Linked DNA regions of Arabidopsis thaliana. The protein of the gene in region 1 interacts with the protein of each later gene in a pairwise test. Each region holds a gene or a part of one and is shown on either strand. Other genes may lie near its edges.

The links. Proteins that work in one complex are often made in the same cells at the same time.
Region 2: the proteins of KAT3 (region 1) and SYP121 interact in a two-hybrid assay, tested with the Arabidopsis thaliana proteins (2 studies listed by BioGRID, with this or other methods).
Region 3: the proteins of KAT3 (region 1) and SAR1 interact in a two-hybrid assay, tested with the Arabidopsis thaliana proteins (one study listed by BioGRID).

The regions. Positions count from the first base shown.
Region 1 is NC_003075.7:15,749,716-15,757,265, forward strand, and holds KAT3 (potassium channel protein), read right to left. Parts: upstream 5,333-7,550; 5' UTR 5,083-5,332; coding exon 4,823-5,082; intron 4,597-4,822; coding exon 4,381-4,596; intron 4,288-4,380; coding exon 4,126-4,287; intron 4,018-4,125; coding exon 3,960-4,017; intron 3,858-3,959; coding exon 3,540-3,857; intron 3,448-3,539; coding exon 3,208-3,447; intron 3,123-3,207; coding exon 3,024-3,122; intron 2,880-3,023; coding exon 2,847-2,879; intron 2,750-2,846; coding exon 2,561-2,749; intron 2,473-2,560; coding exon 2,389-2,472; intron 2,298-2,388; coding exon 2,219-2,297; intron 2,122-2,218; coding exon 1,975-2,121; intron 1,871-1,974; coding exon 1,767-1,870; 3' UTR 1,556-1,766; downstream 1-1,555. Other genes in the region: AT4G32640 (Sec23/Sec24 protein transport family protein), read left to right, coding at 157-245, 344-375, 603-709; AME3 (Protein kinase superfamily protein), read left to right, coding at 6,681-6,770, 6,928-7,048, 7,278-7,304, 7,397-7,550. UniProt on the Arabidopsis thaliana protein: Probable modulatory (alpha) subunit of inward-rectifying potassium channels. Could mediate potassium uptake from the soil solution by plant roots in association with AKT1.
Region 2 is NC_003074.8:3,728,805-3,732,960, forward strand, and holds SYP121 (syntaxin of plants 121), read right to left. Parts: upstream 2,448-4,156; 5' UTR 2,065-2,447; coding exon 1,491-2,064; intron 1,203-1,490; coding exon 736-1,202; 3' UTR 501-735; downstream 1-500. Other genes in the region: AT3G11810 (uncharacterized protein), read left to right, coding at 1-61; AT3G11825 (Bifunctional inhibitor/lipid-transfer protein/seed storage 2S albumin superfamily protein), read left to right, coding at 2,958-3,260; AT3G11830 (TCP-1/cpn60 chaperonin family protein), read left to right, coding at 3,930-3,944, 4,041-4,156. UniProt on the Arabidopsis thaliana protein: Vesicle trafficking protein that functions in the secretory pathway. Together with SYP61, regulates the post-Golgi trafficking of the aquaporin PIP2-7 to the plasma membrane, thus modulating cell membrane water permeability.
Region 3 is NC_003071.7:14,042,959-14,047,235, forward strand, and holds SAR1 (synaptobrevin-related protein 1), read right to left. Parts: upstream 2,586-4,277; 5' UTR 2,380-2,585; coding exon 2,166-2,379; intron 1,714-2,165; coding exon 1,572-1,713; intron 1,479-1,571; coding exon 1,358-1,478; intron 1,166-1,357; coding exon 1,103-1,165; intron 977-1,102; coding exon 827-976; 3' UTR 501-826; downstream 1-500. Other genes in the region: RALFL18 (ralf-like 18), read right to left, coding at 3,563-3,874. UniProt on the Arabidopsis thaliana protein: Involved in the targeting and/or fusion of transport vesicles to their target membrane.

The DNA of each region.
Region 1 (7,550 bases):
ATAGCGACAGAATCTAACTTTTATATTATTTTAATACACGATCCATATATGACTGTTGTGATTGTTTCATCATATTATTGATACCATAAGAGAAGAAATCACTTTTCTGGAATTTTTGAAGCCTGCTAAGCAATGTAACCTGTGTTTTCTTTATAGTTTGTGCTGCAGCAGTATGATAATCAGTTATCAAAGAAATTCAATGATGCGGTGAATGAAATAAGGAGGCAAAGATGTTCTTACCTAAGGTATCTAGCAAAAATCTCAGTATCTGTCTTTTTTATTTCCTAACTGAACCTTTTCCAGCCTCTAATCCTTCCAATGTCTTTATGTTTTATCTACTCAGAATAAAATTGTGCAAGAAGGGAGAACCATCAGGTGAGTAATAATGGACGGATTCCAAATCTTAGCACTAACTACAAAGGATACATGTTATTTATCTTTTCTTGTTTGCGACATTATCAGTCTTACGTTAATAGTAACAGCTTAGATCCTGTCATCTAATATTATTTTGCGAAATGAACATTTATTTTTGCTTACTCGGTGTTGATTTCATAGAACCTTGTCGATGCTGATTTGTTCTTATGATATTTGGTACTTTTCAGGAATGTTGTTTCTCTCGTATATGGTAGAGGACAGGACAGCAAGCGGCCCGTCGTATGTGGAGTTTCTCGTGCAAGTCCATCGCCAAATCCAGCTAAAAATGAACTGATCCTCTGTTTTCTAGGAGTCCTTACAGAAGTTTCCTCCCATCTGCATCTGTGTCATGTTCGGAATTTGCGGTAGAAAAGCATAGCAGAAGGGGAAAGGGCATCGGTCTTATGGCTGCTTGAGAAGTTTTCTTCTTGTTTGAAGGAAAAGAGAGCATAGACTACTTCAACTTGAGAAGCTTCACGACATTTTAAAGTTGTACTTAGATAATAGTCTCCACTGTTGTTTTGTCTTTTTTTTTTTTTTTACTATAAAGAATTATACAAAAGAGTCCTTAGCTAATCTTTTTTGTATGGTTATTTTTTTGTGTTATTTGAGTTTCGAACTAAGAATTTCCTTTCAAATACTTTTTTTTTTGTTGGTTGTTACCGAATATACAAATAAAAGTCTTTGATGTACAATGCAGTGTAAAATATGAAATAATTGTTATTTTCTTTTTTTTTTAACAACTACTACTACAACTTTATTAGATTGTATAAGGTTGATACAAATAAGAGAGTAAGAAACGAGGAGGAACAATAAAAGACTGATACAGAGTAGTAGTAGACAAAACATATTGAGCCATCTTATCTGCAGCACTATTTCGTTCACGATTGACGTGGAGAAGAGTGACGTTGGATAGTTTTGCCATCCAATGACGAATATCGAACAGGAGACCCCCTATTTGAGAATGATCATCACCATTATTGATAGGTCAATCTTCTCCAGTGTTCACTGCTTTTATGGTTTTTAGTTACTTTATAAGTAGCCGTTGATGCAAATGTTTTAAAGAGAATTGTTTCAGTAATAAGAGAAAATGCTAAAATGTATGCAACAATGGTACTTTTGTTGTATGCTAATGCAATCTTCAATCAAACATAATTTTAAGTTCAAGATGTCAAAAAGATAAGAAGCAAGTTCATAATAGTGGAATTGGGAATTCGATCTTCACCTTATATTTTCATATATCTGACTTTGCATCTTTTCATAAGCACCTTACGCTAACAAAAATATAGTTTTTTTTGTATCATTATTTGTGTGGGAAGTGATAATTGTGAATATATATATTTATAAACGAATTAGAAAATATATAAATGATCGTTTTCTCGAAGAGCATCAATTTGTTCAACATGTGCACCATCTGCCATTGCAATCGTGCTTCCTCGTTTCCCCAACTTCTTCTCTGCATCCACCATAGTTTTATGAGTTCAATATAAAGTATATTAAATTTTAAAAAACTTTCAATGTATAAGTAAAGAGAAGTGACATCATAAGAGTGAAACTGACCAGCTAAGTCGAATAGAAGTTGGATAGAGTCAGGTAAAATGATAAGTCTACCGTTGGAATCACCATTGTTTTTGTTATCTTGATTAGGAGGAGCTTGTCCATGAATTATCACTCTTTTTGGAACTCCCTCTCTTCTTCTCTCTTCTACTGCAATCAAATGTCATTGTTAAAAAAAGGGTCTCTATACATACAAAAAAACATGTTCATTTTACTCTGTCTTCAACAAAAAAAAATGTCTTCTTACTCTGTCCATTTTCATGTCTTGAGACCGTAACTATTTCCTCATCGTTACTTTGTGGTGTTTCCTCTGACTGAACTGTTTCCTGTCACCAAAAAATGCGTTTTCATCTCAAACTCACTTGACAATTTTGACGAGAGGACTATGCATTATTTGTTATAAGAAGGTATATATACCTGAACCTGAGCATCTGCGTCATCTAATAAATCTCTAAGAAAAGGAATTTCTTTTTTTAACTCATCATTCAATCCCTTAAGATACTGAAATTAAAGAAAGAAACATTAATTATTAGTGTTACAATATAAACACTATATTGATGTTACTACCGTTTTGTGAATGTAAACTTACTGTCATGAAATTGGCAATGATCATTTTGGCGTCGACGTCATTATCAGACTGCACCATTTCTTTGAACTTATGATGACCAATTCTGATAACTTGTGAAAGTCGACGTGTCCTCACTGTGAAAGGCTGAGGAATGTTGAACACTACTCCTATCTCTCCTGCCATACTTCCGGGACCTAACTTCGCTAATACCTTCACCATTTATCAACCAACTCTTCATACTCTATCTCAATCTTTTAAGTTTATGAAATGTGTTTTTCTTATAACTGAAATTTGTTCAGAGTTTTACCTGTTCACTCACACCCTTGGAAGCAATTATATCCTAAAATTGCAAATTTTCTTTTAATCAGTTGAAGTCAAATATAAATAAGAATGAGTAAACAATCTTTTCGGGATAAATGAATGAGTAAACAATCTTTTCGGGATAAATGAATGAGTATGTAGAGGATATATAGATATATCATACCACTCCTCCAGATACAATTACGTAGAAATCCGTTGGAATCTCATTCTGCAAGATTATCTCCATTTTCGGCGGAAAATATTCTGCTTGTATTTGCGAAACCTACAACAACAACATAGAAGAATGAATTACCACTGCCTTGTTTAACAAGGAACAAAAGAAAATGGAATTGTTGATGGACGATCACCAGCTGGACGAGGAGGCCTTCGGGGAATCCTTTAAAAAGATAAGCTTCTTCGATGATGGAGCGGAATAGATGTTGGTTAATGCTTGATCTTATGGCCTTAGGTAAGTCTTGAAGAACCTCTTCTTGCCTTAACTCCGCGGTCTTGAACTTGAGCTGCATATGTGCAAGCATCTGTTCCCTCATTGTATCCGGTAACCTGTTCTTGCTTGTGTATCGCAATATATCATTGATCGCACTCCTCTGTTCAGCAGAAGAATGATTATTGTACGACTGGTAGAGTAAATGAATGAGTAAACAATCTTTTCGGGTTTAAGCAATGAATGATTATATACCATGGCGAATGTACGAAGAGCGCCATGGACAACTAGATTGGTCATGATACCGATGATATAAGAAGTGAGGCCAATGTTGAAAAGCATGTAGAACATGTTGAATGTCTTCTCACGGCTATTAACTGCATGCAAATCACCGTAACCCACGGTAGTGAGTGTGACAATGGACCAGTACATTGAGTAAGTGTACCCTAACCATACACTTCTTTCCTTAAAATCCTCAACTTGCGATCCTATCCATGTATCCGTAGGCCTTGGATAATGGTAGGCTATCCAGTATAAAATGCAACCCGCCAAATGTATCCAAAATATCGTTACCTGAATCAAATTTCACAATTTGAATAAAAGTCATAGATTGACATAGCCAATTTAGTGATTGTATGGACCACATATAGATAATTCAATATAAGTAAAACTTACACATAGAAGTTTGATGACTCGGATCACGAAATAGTTGAAATGTGCGTCTTTCTCTAGTCTGTTAAAAAAAGAAAGAAAGGAAGTGTAAAATAGACACACACATATGTACTATATGATAAGTGGATTTCAATATTGCATATTATATAGAAAGTAGTAAAGAAAAAACCTTTTAAAGAGTTCGGCTACACGACGGAGACGCCAGAGGCGGAGTAAATTAAGGAAGCCGAAAGCTTGGCCTCGTCCGACATCTCCGGTAATAGTTTTATAAATGAATTGAATGGGTAACGTTGATGCTACGTCCATCACAAAAGCCACGCTCTTCAAGTACCTATAATAATGCACAACATATATAATTCAATTCTAACTTATTCATTTTACTTATGTTATTTTTTTAACATATAAAAACAAATTGATTTGTTACCGTTTGGCGATGAGCTTGTGGTCGGTGACATTGAGGTAAGTAGTATTATCCAAGTAGGAAACAAAAAAGGTGAGGATGATATCAACGGCGAAGAAGAAGTCAACGACGAGATCAATGGTCAATAACGCTCCTTCGGCAGCTTTCTCGAAAGCCAACTCGAACAAAGATGCCCACGCCGAATACCCAACCAATATCACCAAAAACAATTCCCACAACCTACCATTAATTTTTATATGGAAAGATTAAAAAAAAATTAAGATATATGAATATTAATAAGAAATAACAATTTTAAGACGTAAAAATATGAAAATTAATGAACGAATCATTTGATCATTAATTTATGGACTAATAGAAACAGAAAAGTTATGAAATCTGTAAATCACTATTTATTGTTTGATAACCAAAAAACATTTCTTCGTTGTTTAGTTAGTGAGAAATGAACCTGTAACGACGATCAAAGTGAAGAACGATGAAAGGTTTGGAAGAAGGATTATCATCTTCGATGAAAGTCCCAAAAGCAGGCAAGAGACTGCTCGAAACTGACGTTATGTTCCTCACATCTTTGCTCGATCTTCTTCTGAACTGCAGTATCGATAACGGCGATCTTGCTTCCGCCGTCGACGCCGATAACGCCGTCGAAGACCTTCCTCTTCTCAACAACAACGGCAACGGTGATCTCGCCTCAGTAGTCGTCGTAGACATTCTTTTTTCCTTCTTCTTCTTCTCTCTCTTCTTCAAGCTTGATGATATATACTTCCCTCTTTTGTCTCTTTCATTTATACCTTTTTTTTTTAGTTTTGAATTATTAAAGAGGTGTTTAGATGATCAAGAAGGTGGTGAGCAAATTAAGTTGACTTTTTTTTTTACTGGTTTTTGTTTTCCCTATATTTTTTGGAAAAAAAGAATATAACAATACTATAAAACAAATTTACTTAACCATCTAATAAATTATAATTTTTCAAGATTGTAGTATGATGAATTTTACTCTTTATATATTCAACTTTGTTGTTATATATGCAGAAGGCTTCATCGACTTTTTTGACTCTTATTTACGTCTCTGTGTGTATTTAATGTGGCATCAGGTGTAGTGATTACAATCGAGATCTACAATATCAGGGGGATAAGGTTTTTTTTTTTTTTTTTCTTACGATAAATTATGTAATAATTAGCTGTTTAAATACTGGAGTTGAAAAAATTGAGGAACTCAAAAGTCAAATCTTGACGTCTTTTTTGTTGTTGTTATTAAATGAGACCGTGACAGGAATAGTAGTGTTGAAAACAAAACGAACAATAATAAACAAATGAATTACGTATCAATATCTATCATCAGTCAGAATTTAGTATGTTTTTAATACAATCATTTCAGTTTTTTTGAGATAACATATCATATATATATACTTCTTTCCACTTTCCAGTGTTGGATGTGCATGTTTACAATTTTTTTAAAAAATTCTAAGGAAAACAATGTTTTGAAATTCTAAGATACGTTTAGGTAATACATGAAGGGGGATACACTTTGTCTTCGTCCCTTAATTAGCTCCTATGAAGAATTTCACATACACAAATTAAGAAGATGCATGCAATAACAAGGCTAAAGCCATTTCTTAATAGTTCATTTGTACATAAAGTAAGTTTGTGTATGTTAAAAAAAAATTGTGTATGTACTGATGTACAGTATGTTGTTGATTGTTGATACGTAAAACCAAATAGTCAAATACTATACATTTTTACGTTTGCTCGTATAAATTAGGAAACGAAAGCATAATTGTTACGGATAAAAAAACACGAAAATCAATTAATGAAACAAAACCCTTTTGTAAAAAAGCCCATTTTTATGGAAGCCCATTTTGAGATGGACCAGTTAATGAAAAAAAATCCAAGAAACAATGAAACGAACGTTTAAGATCCATGATGGAAATTTGGGCCAAGATTATAAGAAGATCTCACCACATTTCATTTGGGCCGGGTGGGCGAAACATTCCGGGTGATCGTGTAGACCCAATTTTTTCGGTGGAAAGTGCAAAAAAAATGCAATTGGTGGATGTCGTCGCGGTTCGACCCCAAGGGATTTGGCCGGTAAAATTATTGGGAGTTGTCTTTCTCTTGCACTCTCTCTAGTTCCAAACCCTAGCAATTCCTCTGTTTTCACCATTTTCGGAGATTATCACCTTCTCCCCGATTCGCCGCCTTGTGATTACATCTACGTAAAGAGTTTCTGGTAGAAATTTTCCCTCTTTTAGCTGCAGATTGGCATCAGATTCCGTTCTGGATGTGTCGGTGATCGATTTTCCGCGTCGGTGATGATAGCTAACGGATTCGAGAGTATGGATAAAGAACGAGTCAGGAAACGTCCTCGTATGACCTGGGACGAGGCCCCAGCTGAACCAGAGGTTGCTCCTCTTTCTTCTTCTTCTTTTTTTAATTAATCTTTGACATTTAGAACTTCGAATTAGGGTTTAGAATGTGGAGGAAAGACCGAGCATTTATGTTTCTTTGGTGAGATTTTGATATGCTGACAATGAATGAATTTTGACTTTTTTGTGATAGGCTAAAAGGGCTGTGATTAAAGGACATGGAAGCGATGGGAGGATTTTGTCACCACCATTAAGGGACGATGATCGTGATGGTCATTATGTTTTCAGTTTGAGGGACAATCTCACTCCTAGATGTGAGTTTTTGATGGATAAAGTTGCTAACTTTCTATTCTATGTGAGCTAAGATATTTACCTATGTTGCTTCTATATGTGTATTGTTGCTAGTAACTCTTTGTTTTGTTTGGCACCATTGCCTTAGGGATAATCTTTTTTCGCTTTCGTTTCATTGGGATGAGAATCCTTCCTGAACATTTTTAATTGCTTAACTTACGCTATTGTGTGTTCTGTTTTGACTTTTGACAGATAAAATACTTAGCAAGATGGGTGAAGGTTAGCTGTCAAGTGGCATGGTGTGTTCGAGATAAAAAAAATGTTTATGTGAATCAAATCGTGCCATTTCAGTGAACTTGCTGGTGTTGTAGGCACATTTGGTCGGGTTTTGGAATGTTGGGATCGTGATACAAAAGAATATGTGGCAATAAAGATAATTCGAAGCATTAAGAAATACCGGGATGCAGCAATGATTGAAATTGATGTACTTCAGAAACTTGTTAAGAGTGATAAAGGCCGCACACG
Region 2 (4,156 bases), on another chromosome or scaffold:
CTTGCCTTTTGATGATGGTAAAGTTCCTCACTTGGTCTCTGTAGCTTACAACAACATCTGATGAAATGATGATGATGATGATGATGATGATGATGATGATGATCTTGTTTGTTTTGTTGTTATGTTTTAAGGTAGTGTTTGGAAAACTGGTCTTCTTGTATGATAATGCAAGTTTGTAACCCTTGTACGTATATTGATCTTCTTTACTGTTCTTGAGACTTGAAAACTTCTGTAATCTGAATCAGAATTGGGATTAAAAAAAAAAAAAAAAAAAAGAAAGAAAAGTATCACAGTAGGATCAACATATCAGTCAACTGAAAAGTCAACAAAATGTTAAGAGTACACCCCAGAACAAATCATAGCATCAAAGTCTAGATTTAGTATCATATTCGAACTTGGAAAATGCCAAGACTAATGAAGTTTTTGTGTTATCGGTTGGTATTACCTCGTTTGGTTTGAAATGGCTCATATACTTCAACCAAATAGAACAAGAAACGATAAACCCTGAAATCACATCAAGTAAATATAACCCATATAGCAAACATAGATACAAGAGAATGTTGTACTAATTTTCTCATCTAACCCACATTTTAAATTCTTTCACAAAAACCAAATAAACGGGAGATTAACAACAAACCAGCAGTAGAAAGTAGTAACACAAAGCTGGTTTGATAATAAGGTTTTTCAAAGAAAGAATATATATGCAAATAACGAAACTCAACTTCAACTTCAACTTCAACGCAATAGACGCCTTGCCTGAGGAGGATTTGGTGGTGTCCCTGAATTTGGTTGACTTCCTCCAGTGGTACCCCCACCACCACCACCGCCGCCGCCGCCACTGCTGTTGTTCCACGGTTTTAAAACAGCAAGAACCACAACAGTTATGATGATGATGAGAATAATAATGGCAATACATGTCCATTTTCGCGTGTTCTTCTGGTAAACCCGAGCGGTTTGTAGCTGGTCAGTTCCGCCTCTGATAAAGGAGCTAGCTCGACCCACATGACTCTCGATGTCATCAAGCTGAGCTCCCTGGTGCTCTACCAGCACGGCCATGTCTAGAAACACCTGGTGAAGCTCCCTGAGATTCTTCTCAATGTCTTTAACCGCATCATGCCTTTCTTGAATCTCGTTAATGGTGTCTAACACCCTTCCTCTTCCTTGTTCTTGTATTGCTTTCTGCAAGAATCTCTCACTCTCTCCTGCAACAAAAACAGTATCAATGTCGCACCACCACTCATGTAACAACATGTCTAAGTATCCAGAGATCAATTCCAGCTCTAACAGCTAGGAACTAGCACAACATAAGATATACAAATCCATTTTCATAGTCTAAACGCAAAATCTGAAGTTACTGTTCTTCACAACCACAACACTGTATACTAAGAAGCCTGGAATCAGTGTTCGGAAACCAATTGGTCATCATATGTTAACCTAGATGATGATTCTACTTGAATCTGGAAGTGATTTGAATGGAAGATTAAACTAACCAGTGGAAATCAGTCGATCTAGGGTTCGTTCATCCGGATTCTCGCCGGTGACGGTGAAGTACCTCCTCTGTACAGTTTCTCTATACTCGGACGAGATAAGCTCCCTCAATCGGTTGAAACTATCCATAGAGTCCATCAATTTCTTCCTGAGACCATTGAGGACAGAGGTCCTGGTTCGATCGGAGGAAGAACCAGGTCCACAGCCAGGGAGACTCCGATTAGCAGCATTGGCACGATCTAGCGCCTCGAGTTTAACTTTAATCATCTTCGCCTTCTTCAACGCGACTCCAACGTCACCGTCCATTTTAGACCGGAGATCTTTAACGGCTTTAGCATTGTGAAGCGTCTTGCTCTGCTCGTGACATGAAGAGAGTGTTTCGTTGAGCCGATCTAGCTCCTTTAGCTCTTCTTTCACAGATTCAACATCTTCGAAGAACTTGTCGAGGTTCACACCACCGGTTGATCCCGCGGGATTCGCCATCTGAACTCCGTCGCCACCGCCGGCAACGTCTCGGCGAGGGGATGGTTCTCCGCTGCGGAAGCGAGAGAATGAGCTGGAAAACAAATCGTTCATTTAAAATTCGAAAAATAGAGAAATCTAGAGAGAGATTTCAGATCGGAATGAATCAACGGGAAGACTTAAAGAATGGAAAAATGAGAAGAAGTCGTACAGATTCAAGTAGGCGGTTTTATTGAAAAGTCCAAAAGGAGGATTATGAGGTAAGAGAGGAAGAAGTCAAACAAGTAAGTCTCTATTGGTTGACTTGGAAGCTTCTGAGAAAGTAACAATGGCGGAGAAGGGAAGGTGAAGTTGAAAGCGAAACCGTGTGCCCTTGTCCCGTACGTGTAAGTATATACGGTAACAGATCCCAAAATCATATATAAATTGGAGAAAGAAAAAAACATTCGTAATTTGAATGATTTTTAAAATTTTATTTTGTCGGCTTTGGATACTTTAAGTTTATCATCCAAAGGATACATTAGCCCATACGAAACACTTATTGATAAATTGACTTCAGCAGAAAACATTTAAAAAAACAAAAATGTTACTGTATATCAAATTAATTTACATAATTTAGAATCGTCCATCGAACCAAATTTAAAGAAGCCCACCAAATCCTTGCTTTTCTCCGTTAAAGGGCCAAGCCTAAACCCATAGCCCAGTCTTTGAGCACCGGAAAGCAATTGTAATACTTCGATTGTTCGATTTGTAAGATATACAACATCCTAACAACCATACACCGATATACATAAAGAACAAGTCAAATGTTCAATATGAACAACCATATAAAAATAGAATCACTTTCCTCCCTAATCTATAGGATACCCATATGTTGTATAAATCGTTGATTCCAAGTTTCCTATTTAAAGATCTCAAACAAACAAAAAATATACAACATTTTTGCAAAACTAATTGTTCCTGATTTGAGATATTTTGTCATCAGCTGGTAGGTTAATAAATCAGACATGAAGATCATCCCATTGATGTCCATTGCCTTGGTCATATTCATGACGTCATTTCCGGCTCCCATCAAAGTAGCCGGTGGTGTGGGTAATTGTGAAAAGGACATGCAATGGTGCATAGACAAAACTGAATTCTTTACTCACGGTTACATTTATGAGCGTTGTTGTTATAATATGATAATGAAAAAAAAATGTATGTGTTTGTTTCTCAAGTCCCCCAAGCTAAAGATAGCTGCTCGCAACGTTAACAATGCGTGTGGTCGTGGTGGTCTTCCAAAGGATGCATTCTCTGAGTTCAAGTGTTAAATATATAGATACATAAAAGTAAATAATTAACAACAATAAAGCAAACATATTTTTGATCAGATTTGTACTATGTAGTTTAATGGTTTGTACTTTGTAGTCGTTATGTTTAATAACTTGTCAATTGTCCTTATAGTTTTGATAGAAGTTAGAACACATAATATATAAGAACAATTGTCTAGAGAGACTAATGACTAATTAAACTTTGATTTATCATGTAGCTTAGTTACAAACAACAAGTATTGCTTCAAAAAGTATAATCCTTTTGAGTTCCTCCCAAAAGAGCCACCTCCATTGCCATCCTTTCCACATTAGAGTTTACCAAATTCTAAATTAACAGAGCAAAAGTGAAAAATCAACAAATATATGCGTCGAAAGCCAATTTTTACATAATTTTGTGTCTGCATAATTTAACTCCATTAAAAAAGCATGGAGAAACTTTTAAATAATTTAATTATGACTTTCTAAGTGGGGTCCAGACCATAAAACGCTGCGTTTTAAGTGAAATTATCGGTTCAACCGGCCGGTCCGGTTCTAAGAACATCGGTCGATCTAGTTGCTCCTATATGAACAACAGAAGACCTAAACCCTAACTCCCCCCCTCTCTCTCTCTCTCTGCTCCATTTCTCTCACTTTCTTCACATCTCTGAAGCTCTTCGTCACGCATCTACAATGGCATCGATGATGGTAAGTCGCATCTACACACACTTTCTCTCTCTATCTCACTCTCTGTGCTATAAACTGACTAACGTGCCACTACTTTGGTTTTGGTTTGATGAGCAGCAACCGCAGATCATACTGCTGAAGGAAGGGACGGACACATCTCAGGGCAAAGCGCAACTAGTAAGCAACATCAACGCTTGCACTGCTGTTGGAGATGTAGTTCGAACCACGCTCGG
Region 3 (4,277 bases), on another chromosome or scaffold:
TATCGGCGAGCACGAAAGCTTTAGAGATCTAGAAAACTTGACGCTGAAACGCGTAGAGAATCGAAGACTAAGCCAAGTAAAACCACTGACCAAGACAACACGTTTGTCCGAACTTGCATTTGTTCTTACATGCTGCACCACAGTTTTAGTCGACAGGAAGTGGCTGATTTGCCGCAATAAGGAGATCACTTTCATTTCCTGCAAATACACATAACCGCGACATCAGCCGGAGGTGGCTCCGCAAGTCGCCTCGATTTCAGCAGTCGAAATCTTGAGCTCAGCATGGCAATCAATTCGAAGAAATTCCAAAATCTCAGAAAATCAGGCGAATGTTTCCGAAATTAGGGAAGCAGAGGAGAAAGCGTTTGAGCAAACCCTTAATGAACTAACCGGAGACTCTGGTGAATCGGTCAGACGAAACCGTGTTAATTACATATTCATCTCCATTTAATATTAACCGGCTGTGGACTATGCTTATACCTCACTGCAATCCGCAACTAGAGTCTCATCAACAGACCAAAGAAATTAGTAAATTGCCAAGAACAAGTATCGTCCAAATATTGGTTTGCAAGAATTAGTGTCAGTACCAGCAATAGCAACATTGCAGATTGTCGAACATGCATACATATATGTATAATATATATAGCCTATACAAAACAAATTTCAAGAAGTACAATCTAAGAAGAAACATATAGTATGAGAATATAGAAATCACAAAAACAAAAACAAAACAAAAAGGTAGCACAACGAACTGAATGAAGATATTCTCAGAGATCTTGGGAAGCACAGAGCGCAGTCGATAACGCCGGGAAGAAATGTTCCAGACTTATTTACCGCAGTTGAATCCCCCACAAATTGAGAGGATGATGATGAGAATCAAGGCAATGATAATTGCAAGGACAATGAGCTTTATCTTCATGTTCTGAAACCACATCTTTCTTCTCATTTGAGTTCCTTGTGTTCTAAAATCTTGCGCCTGTGATAAAGTCGAGTTCAAATTTAAAGTTAGAAACCCAAGAAACAACAATCAGTAAGAGAAAGCTGCAAACTCTTGCATGTCTCTGTGTGGGTCTATTGACTTTGAACCATTTAGAAAACAAACCTGTGAGCGAAGGTTTTCTGTTTTGTCAACCAAAAGCTCAATCTTCTCACCACGGTCAAGAACCTGCAAACGAATGCATAAACGAGTTAACAACAGAATATGTCTTCACAACCGAGAATAAAACATTCCTCTCTACAGTTTATGCTTTACGAATCATAAGATCCTGGTACTAAAGTCATACAAGCTGAACTCTGTTCGAAAAGGTTTACAACATAAAACTATATCGATAAAAAGAAAAAAGGGTCAGAATCAAACCTTCTCAATGTTTTCCATCATAACACCTTTAACTTCAGACACTTGAGCTTTAACCTTAGCAAGCTTGCTAATCTCATCAGGATGATCCATGCAATACTGCATATGCTCTTTCAGTTTCGACCTTTAGAGAAGCCAAAAAGAAGTCCATCAATAACTATGCCCATGAATCATAGACCCTTTTCAATACCAATCAAAGAGATCAAAAAACACATACCCAAATTCTTTATTCAAGCTGTTTGCTTGAGCAGTTGCAGCCTTTCCACCACCATATCTCTTGTTGAAATCCTCCTTAACTCGTTCCAAGAAAGCCATAGGAATCTGCCTCCCAGCAGAATCAACTGCAACAACACAATAGGCTGCACAAACGAAAACAAAACCGGTCCATTTTAAACTCTATATTAAGAGATAAAGCAATAGATTCATCAATATATCGCTGATAAGAAAGTTAACACTATCATAAAGAGACCATATCCGCCATCAACATCACCCAAAACCCAATTAGGTTTAGTAAAACAGAGTTACATAAAGAACACAATACACTAATGCCAAAAACTTCATGATATCGAAAGCTACACGCAAATAAGCAAAGAATCAATAGATCCAGAACAAAAATTGCAAATATTCATTGATAGATCCACCAAAAATATCACTGATTACCATAGATCTAACATCAATTAATTATCAACGCCAATACATAATTATTACTGGAAACTATACCAAACATAAGAACTCGATTCATATTTCTCAATTAGGCAAAAAATCTAATTCAAACAATGGATAAATCAAAACACAAACAAGCTACGCTTACAGATCGAGCAATATTTTGACTCACTGAATCCATTTTCGACGAGGTAATTGAACGTGTGACCATCGCAGTTGTAGGTAAACTTGTTGTTAGAAGAAGGAAGCTTCTGAAGGCACTGAGCAGCGATTGATGTGAAATTGCCTTTGAAATCTGTGAACTCAACGAGGATAACGGTACCACGAGCGACGAAACTGTAGATCAACGATTGTTGCGCCATTTTTTTTACTCAAAAACGACGCGAATCCGATTTTACGGGACCGATCTCAGAGATTTATATTGGCGAGCACGAAGGCTTTAGAGATCTAGAAGACTTGACGCTGAAACGCGTAGAGAATCGAGGACTAAAAGAGAATACGGTGAAAAAGAAAAGTGTAGGAGAAATCTTAACGTAGTTGAAGAAGAAAAATCAAACCCTTGAGTTTTAGAGGGCAAAAAAGTTATATTTCAGAAAGATTTATGCAGATTGTGCAAATTGAAACAATCTTGAACTTGAGGACCTAAAAGCAAATTCAAATAATCAACTTGTGGGGTTTTAAAAAGTTGGTGATGTTGGTGTAATGGTATTTTGTTATTTGATAGTTTCAACGTATTTTTATCAGCGAAAATGAATTTGGATAAGCTAGTTTGAACTTTGACCTTTGAATAATTGGTTCCTATATTATCTAAATCTACTATTAAAATTTAAAACTTAAAAGTCATCAAAGATTATTACATGTGGTTGGATAATAATTTTATAAATTGTCTTTTTTGGGGTATTTGTAGAAAATTTGGCATATTTGGGGTTTTGGTGTAATCTAAATTAAATGACTAAATAAGAATATTTTCAAAGTTATAGGAAAGTTCAATGGTCTAGTCACCATAATAAATGATAATCTACAATTCTACATGCATCCCATGTCCGCTCCTATTAATTCAAATCTATTTTTTTCTTGATTTAATTGTACTTAGAGGTTGCTTACTATTGTAATATATATACCTGAATTTCACGTGTACACTTCTAAAGTGTATCTTATATTTACAACAAGACTATATTTTGTATTTAAAGTTGAAATTGGTAGGTGTGAATGTGTGATAGTTTTGGAGGAATGGTTTGGAAATATATCGATCGTTTAAATAAAATAAAACAAGAATATGGTGCGAGAGAAGGGATCAATTTGTTTGAACTTGACCGCAAAAATACTTTACGATGAGATCAATTTTCACTCGTCAATCATTTGGTGAGAAAAGGATGACAATTTCTAAACGAAGTTTATTCTAACTCTCTAGGAGATAATGCCTCAAAGGCTTACAAATTGCAATAAAATATAATAATAAGAAATGTGATTGGAAATACTAATTAAAAATAAAATAAAACACACCAACGAAAGGAAGAAGAAGAAGAAGAGAGAGGTGGTTTATGTTTAATTTGTAAAGCGGTAACATCCTGTAGCGGCACTGCAACCACGTCGGTATTTGTTATCCGGTTTATCCGGTTTACCATCTGGTTTGGCTGGTAAGTTTTTCTTCAATGCTTCGTAATCTATAAATCTCTTAGCTTGAAGTATCCTATGGCTCACATCTACACCTGAACTCATCTTCATGATCTCTTCTTTTTCTCCACCGTCCATGCAATTGTCACATTTTACCGGACGAGATCCGACCACAAGCGCTGGAAGCAAAGCTGCCGAGATGATCATCACAGCGATGATCAAGAGCTTCATGTTATTCATCATCGAGACTTATCAAGAGAGTGTAAAGTTGAGAGTAGTAGTTGTTGTTTCGTTTACGTTGAAATGGTTTGTGATGAAACACTTGGTTAATCTACACTTTTATAGAGGTTAATTTTTTTTGTAGAGGTTCATCGAATATTTGACCAGATTCTTACTCGAAAAAGAAAATCAAAATTACTCCGTCAAATTCATGGAATAAGAAATGAATACGGTGCCCAAAAAAGATGAACCTACACAAATAAATGATTCAGTGGATTTGTTTTGCTCTGTATAGTGATCAAAGTCGGTCAATTCGCATAATTAATTGGTCAAAGCCTCAATAATGATTTCCATATATGATAACATTGATGGCTCGTTTTTAACACAAAACTGAGGGGATGCATTGGAACATGATTATAACGTCTTA